Macaca fascicularis: one gene and its partner. The protein of the gene in region 1 purifies or fractionates together with the protein of each later gene. This does not show direct contact. Links are inferred from orthologs where the notes say so. Each region holds a gene or a part of one and is shown in the gene's direction. Other genes may lie near its edges.

The links.
Region 2: the proteins of MYCBP2 (region 1) and FBXW7 purify together in Homo sapiens (affinity purification with mass spectrometry; 6 studies listed by BioGRID and IntAct, counting the BioPlex papers as one, with this or other methods). This does not show direct contact. The link is inferred for Macaca fascicularis from reciprocal best matches to the Homo sapiens genes MYCBP2 and FBXW7.

Annotation. Positions count from the first base shown.
Region 1 is NC_088391.1:68,187,605-68,191,432, reverse strand, and holds part of MYCBP2 (E3 ubiquitin-protein ligase MYCBP2), read left to right. Parts: intron 1-399; coding exon 400-606; intron 607-1,427; coding exon 1,428-1,559; intron 1,560-3,482; coding exon 3,483-3,661; intron 3,662-3,828. UniProt on the Homo sapiens protein: Atypical E3 ubiquitin-protein ligase which specifically mediates ubiquitination of threonine and serine residues on target proteins, instead of ubiquitinating lysine residues.
Region 2 is NC_088379.1:157,327,110-157,330,937, reverse strand, and holds part of FBXW7 (F-box/WD repeat-containing protein 7), read left to right. Parts: intron 1-127; 5' UTR 128-196; coding exon 197-697; intron 698-3,828. UniProt on the Homo sapiens protein: Substrate recognition component of a SCF (SKP1-CUL1-F-box protein) E3 ubiquitin-protein ligase complex which mediates the ubiquitination and subsequent proteasomal degradation of target proteins.

The DNA of each region.
Region 1 (3,828 bases):
TTTCTCTGCAGAATATCTAGAGCTCTATGTCGCATAGTTTGAAAACTGTTGATCTATAGAATTTCGATGACATTTTTAGCATCTCTTTTCAAAGTCTAGTGATTTATTCATACATTATGACTGATAAGACAAGCTTGTACTTCTAACGTTATAAATTAAGTGGAAAATATAGTTTCATATGGCTGAAGGAAGAAAATACTGTCAAGTGACACTGATTTGTGAATTTAGAATGATAAAATCTGGTTTTATTGTGAGTTAATCTCTCAGTAGAACATACGTTTAGAAATGCTTATACCCACTTATTAAATAAAGCTTATTTTATTAGACTTCTTAGAAACCTTTGGATGGTTTTGTTAAAGGTGTACAAACTACTGATGCAGTTGCTTTTGTTGTCCACAGGTTGATGGACTTAATTCTCTTCACTCTGTAAAAGCTAGTGCTAACCGATTTACAAAAACAAGTCAGGGCAGAAGCTGGAACACTGGGAACGGGTCCCCTGATGCAATCTGTTTTTCAGTAGACAAACCTGGAATAGTTGTAGTTGGTTTCTCTGTCTATGGAGGAGGTGGAATTCATGAATATGAATTAGAGGTCTTGGTTGATGATGTAAGTATCACCCTTTCAGCATTTATCCTGATTAGTGGGTTGTGTATCAGGATTTACCATTGTCATAGTATGATGGGTCCATACCTTCAGGGGTTTACTAGATCAATTACAGATGAATGACACTAAAGAAACTGAAAAAGGCTGGCCACAGTGGCTCACACCTGTAATCTCAGCACTTTGAGATGCTGAGGCAGGTGGATGACTTGAGCACAGGAGTTTGAGACCAGCCTAGGCAGCATGACAAAACCCCATCTCTATGAAAAATACAAATATTAGCTGAGTGTGGTGGTGCACGCCTGTAATCCCAGCTACTCTGGAGGCTGAGGTGGGAGGATCACTTGAGCCCGGGAGGTTGAGGCTACAGTGAACCATAATCATGCCACTGCACTCAAGCCTGGGCAGCAGAGTGAGACCCTGTCTCAAAAAAAGAAAGAAAGAAAAGAAACTGAAAGATAATGATTTTACCTCATTGCTTGTGTTCCATCTTTCCACCTTGGATCACTACTGCTTATATTTTTTGTACTTTCAGAAAGAGAAAGATTTAAAGTGGAATTAAAGACTAAAATTTATTTAGCTAAGTCCCTGATGACAAGTCTTGAGTAGTTTTTTTTTTATATTGTAATTTTTCAAGAAACACAATGTTCAGATGTCATAGAGTACTAATTCAGCTATATCTTTCTAATCCATTCTCTAAAATTACTTAAAGTACCGGAGTTTTATTAAAATAGGACAGAAAGGGGTAGCATGTAAATCATTGCCTAGTAAATAGCAAGTTTATCTCTATCTCTAACTTGATTTTTTTGTTTCCTTTTTTTTTTTAGAGTGAACATGCTGGAGATTCAACTCATTCCCACAGATGGACATCTCTGGAATTAGTGAAAGGAACTTACACAACAGATGACTCACCCAGTGATATAGCTGAAATCAGACTTGACAAAGTGGTTCCTTTAAAGGTAGTTTCAACTGTATGTTTCTATTGTGAATAAGAAGAATTATTATGTAGTTAAAATAGTGAAGAGTATTCCATGAATTTTGTTTGTTAGATACAGCTATTCGTAAGTTATCCTTTATATGGTAGGTACTTCAGATATTTATGGAGTACCTACTATGTACCTGATGTTGTACCACATTATATTATATTTTTGTATAATGTTTCTTAAAGTCTGGAGTAGTAGGAAGCTTTGTAGTCAAACAGATTAAACTCTGGATACCTGCTGTTCCAACATACTAGCTTTAAGACACTGAGTTCATTATTTAACCACTTTGAGACTTATCTGTAGATTGGAAAGAATAATACCTGCATTGTAGTATTCTTGAGATTAAATAATAGAAATAAAACACCTGCCTCAGTGTCTAGCACAGTATGAAAAATAAGCATTAGCCCTGTCTTTTCTTCTCTTATTGTTTGTTGTTTTGTTGTTTTGTTTTGCTTTTGTTCTTTTTTTTTTTTTTTTTTTGAGATGGAGTCTCACTCTGTCACCCAGGCTGGAGTGCAGTGGCATGATCTTGGCTCACTGCAACCTCCACGTCCTGGATTTAAATGATTCTCCTGCATCAGCCTCCCGAGTAGCTGGGATTACAGCCACGTGCCACCATACCCAGTTAATTTTGTATTTTTAGTAGAGAGGGGCTTCGCTGTGTTGACCAGGCTGGTCTCGAACTCCTGCCCTCAAGTGATCCACCCCCGTCAACCTCCCAGAGTTCTGGGATTACAGGCGTGAGCCACCACACCCAGCCTATTTTCTAACAATATTTGGCAAAATAGAGAAATTTTACCACATCAAAGTAATTATAAATGTTAAAGTAACATTAAAGTATTTCTGAATTCAACTGAAATAAATTTCATTATAGGACAAAATTTTGGATAAGATCGGTACATGAGAGATTTCATCAGGAAGAATTTAGATACTGAAAAACCAAAAAGCTTTTATTGTGAAATTTATATCATGGTTCATAAAGCATTAGTTTCTATAGCTCACATTTTCAAAGTACAGTGCATTATATTTTGGACAGCTTTTTTCCTGTGGGTTTTTTTTTCTCATGTCTGTTTGCCTATAAATTTCTATCTCTGAGATTTTCTTAAAAATATAGCAGAGTCACCCTTATTTTTTTCTCACATCTAAAATTATTTTAAAAGTTAAACTAGTCAAGGAAAAGTATCAGCTTATGCAATTAAAATCTCGTATTGCTGGGCACAGTAGCTCACACCTGTAATCTCAGCACTTTTGAGACACCAGGGAGGGAGGATCACTTGAGCTTGGGAGTTTGAGGCCAGACTGGGCAGTATAGTCAGACCTTATCTCTACAGAAACACCTTAAAAAATTGGCTGAGTGTGATGGAACGCACCAGTGGGAGAATTGCTTGAGCCCAGGAAGAGGAGGCCACATTGAGCCAGGATTGCACCACTGCACTCCCAGCTGGGTGACAGAGCAAGATCCTGTCTCAGAAAAAAAAAAAAAGAAAAATTATTATGGCTAATATTCTAGCAGTAAAATTACGAGCAGGCACTAGTTACATTGGTTGTGTTCAGACCTAGTTCCATCACTTACTAGCTGTGTGACTTAGAACAAATTACTTAACTTCTCTGAACCTCAGATTCCTCATCTGTAAAATAGGGATAATAATGATACTTACCTCATGAAGCCATTTTAAGGATTAATTGAATTCCATAAAGTACTTAGGACAGTTGCTTTTATGCAACAGGCATTCAGTAAATATTAGCTGTCATCATGTTTGATTCATTAAAAACTTGTATCATCTGTAAATATGATAAGAAATTTCAGTATATTTGCCTATTTTACTGCTAGAGTTCTTTTTGTATATCCTCTGTACATTGTGAATAAATGTAAACATGTTTTACATCTTTATAATGAAGGAAAATGTTAAATATGCTGTGCGCTTGAGGAACTATGGAAGCCGTACAGCCAATGGAGATGGAGGAATGACCACAGTTCAGTGCCCTGATGGTGTGACGTTCACATTCAGCACGTGCAGCTTGAGCAGTAATGGCACAAACCAAACCCGAGGACAGATCCCACAGATACTCTACTATAGGTGGGTGAATGTATAGAGATAAGGGAAATAGTTTACAGTGGTAGAACATACACAGTCTATTACCAGGTAAAATTGCTAAGTGGATAATTATAATTAAATTATACAGTGTATCTTCTTAGCACATACTCGTACAAATTCATATAAAGAAATCTTTTAATATATAAATT
Region 2 (3,828 bases), on another chromosome or scaffold:
AATGCCTTGGTGGCATCAATACTTTTTTGCAATCATTAATGATATTTAGAATGTAGACATATAACATGAAAGTAGAACATAATATAGATTGTACAAATCTTGTTTTTTCCACTATTTTCCCCTGCAGAATGTGAAAACCTTTGCATCTTCTGATAGTCTAGCCAAGGTCCAAGAAGTAGCAAGCTGGCTTTTGGAAATGAATCAGGAACTGCTCTCTGTGGGCAGCAAAAGACGACGAACTGGAGGCTCTCTGAGAGGTAACCCTTCCTCAAGCCAGGTAGATGAAGAACAGATGAATCGTGTGGTAGAGGAGGAACAGCAACAGCAACTTAGACAACAAGAGGAGGAGCACACTGCAAGGAATGGTGAAGTTGTTGGAGTAGAACCTAGACCTGGAGGCCAAAATGATTCCCAGCAAGGACAATTGGAAGAAAACAATAATAGATTTATTTCAGTAGATGAGGACTCCTCAGGAAACCAAGAAGAACAAGAGGAAGATGAAGAACATGCTGGTGAACAAGATGAGGAGGATGAGGAGGAGGAGGAGATGGACCAGGAGAGTGATGATTTTGATCAGTCTGATGATAGTAGCAGAGAAGATGAACATACACATAGTAACAGTGTCACAAACTCCAGTAGTATTGTGGACCTGCCCGTTCACCAGCTCTCCTCCCCATTCTATACAAAAACCACAAAAGTGAGTATATTCATTATATTGTTAACTTGAGAAACTTTACATACCTATTTTAAGTAATGAAACTTTCCTCTCAGTCTTTGTATTACTAAAAATTAATCTTAAGATATGTAATAATAAAATGAACTAGTTTTTTGTTTTACAGAAGGTATTGGAAAGTATTAACAAGTAGAAATACTGATAATGGGAGAATCTGAGTACAAATGGAGGGAAAGTAATTGAGCCTATTACTATGAAAAGTTATTAACATCAAATTTTTGTCTAAACCTTGAGTTCCGGGCAGGGATTAGTAGCTTGTGTGGGGTGTAGAGGTTTTGGGTGAAATATGATTTGTGTAAATCAAGTAATGAAGAAGCTTTTTATTTACAAAATGCAGCTGCTGGAGTGGGCTGTCTATTTACAAGTGTCACTCTAAGGCATAAATTACTCAAAAGTTGCCTCAAATTAGTTCTAGTTATTTATCATTTGAGAATTAGAAATAGTGGATATTCATGTAGAATAGACTTACAAGTTAAACTATATTTTGGAAAGGAACATTTTAACTTGAATAATAGCTTACTTGTTTTATAGACATTAAAATAATGTCTGTGGTAGTTCATCCTCTTACTCCTACTTGCTTATTTCTTACATTTTACAGTGATTTTAGGCCATAAACAATATACAAACTGATTTAACTGATTTGACATCATATCATTTAACCTAACTTGACTTGGAATGAAGTGTCTTACACACTTGGATTAATAATAGTTGAATTGCTAAATCATGTTTTACATCTGCTTGTAAAACCTTGACTTTCTAAAATGTGTTTGGCCCTAATTTACCTAGCCTGTCTGCAAGTCAGATTATATTTAGCTAGCATGATCTAAGAAGGACGTGACATCAAGTAGTGATTTTTCATCCATTGTATCATCCCTGTCTCAAGATGTTGAAGCAGTAGCTTTGGATCTCAGCCAGATGGCTCTACCGCTAACAACTATACACTGCTTTGTTAAGGCTCAGACCTTATATAGTGTCATTCCTCCCTTCTGTCCCCCCAGTCTTAATCCCCTTCTTCAAGGTTACTATATCAAAAGGGAGTTTATACAGCTCTTTTTTTCCTGAGGGTTCAGTTAGAGGAATAGGGGTTTAATATTTAAGTTCCAATTGCATTATCTTATTTCAGAAAGAGGTTCAATCAAAACTAAGCCTTGCAGAACAATGCAGAGTTATTGCTGATTTCTGCTACACTTTAAATTAAAAGCAAAAAAAGCTAGTTAGACAAAACTTTATCTTTTTCCAAAAGGAAAAGTCATCCTTATATTCTGTAGGAAACCTTCCAGTTCACAAGTTTGACAGGTACTTCATCTTTTCTTTACCTTCAAGATAAAATCATTAACAGAAATTTTATGTGTGTGATGATTACCTCTTTAAAAACGAAGTATACTGAATTTGTTAGTTTTTTTTCCTAGTGATTCTGAATCAGGAATAACAGTTATTCTTGTACATGCAAGATAACAAGAATGGACTGGGCCCTAACCATAGCAGGGATAGATGTGTGTATGCATTTGTATATATACACATGTACAATATAGATGTGTATATGCATTTATTATATAAGTGTGTATGTATACTTTTTGATATATTGTTGATCATGAGATGATTTGCCTTCATAAGTATGGCATGAAGAATACAAAGCTATTTGATTGCCAGGACAGTGATGCCCTTCTATAAGTACGATTTCAGTCTGAAATTTTTCTAAATGTTTTCCTTTTTGTCCATTCCTAAAACCCTTCTGCCAGAGTATTCCCGGAGCACTTTCAACAGCATTTAGAAAAGTCGCTTAGTACTGCTTTACCTAAAAAGAAAATGTCAATATTCTCCGTCTGTAGATGTTTTAATACAATAAATAGAAGCTCTCACTAGTTCAAGTACTTTATTTTGGAAGAGCTTTAAATTCTTGATCATTATAAAGTTAAGACACTTCTACAGACGTTACCCTAGACCATAGTTTCATTCAAGTCTTAAACTTTGACTTTTGAGAGTAGAGGCATAAGAAATGAAATCCCATTTTTAAATGTTAATATAGGATTAGCTTTCTACAAATTTTACTCAGGATACCTTTCAAGTTTTATTTTTTGACGTTCTCATAAACAAACCCTGTGGACAGCTAGACTGAATTTTATCCATCATCCCTAAATATGCTGCATAAGCAAATATGATATTAATGAGAAAAAAAGATGTTTAATTCTTCCTTGCATTGCTTTATTCTTTGAAAGCATTTTGAAAACTGTCAAAACTCTGAGGACAGTTTTTCCCCCCTTGTCACTAAAGGTTTGTTCTTTTGGGAGCCTTATGGCAAGCAATATATGTTAAAAATTCCATACTGTCTTAATGTTAAAAGTCAAGGGAAGTGATAGTCAAGAATTGCTATTTATTAAGCTCACACTGTTTGAAAGATCCTATGACAGATACATAAACAAAAGTTACAGAGAGGCCAAATGATCCACCCCAGATCACACTAAGTGATGAGAGATTTTAATCCTGATTTGCCTAATTGCAAAAAACCCCTTTCTCTTTCCATGTACTATGCTGCCCCCTATGGTAGAATATGACAAACATCACTAAACAAGATTTCCAATATAGTCATAGAGACTCTGGCGTGTGATGATTTTCTAATACTGTGTCCCATTTGAAGTGATCAGAGCTACCCTATAGAAAGGACAGAGAGCTCAGTTAACTACTTTTCTTTGTGGCACTTAACAAAACACTATTGAAGATTTTACAGCTCAAGGCTAAAGTAATCAGGAAGAAATGACGCTATTAAAAAATCTGATAGAGGTCATACTCTCTCGAATCCATAAAACATGCTTTTAAAGCAGAGGTTGTGTGCTGGCTGTTCCTCTAAATTTGACTAGCCTGTAAATTCTAGAGTCAACTTGGTTCTCCAGATATAAATGTCTGTCTCTTCAGTTTTTACTTCCTTTGTCAACATCCTTATCATATATATTTTTTAAAAATTGTTTTCTGAAGAGATGCCCAGCTCATATTGAAGAATCTTTGACATATTTTATGCAGATATCAACTAATTTTCTACTAACATGAAAAACAAATGAGACAATTATTAGGCCAGATCTGGTATCCTGATCTTTTGATGA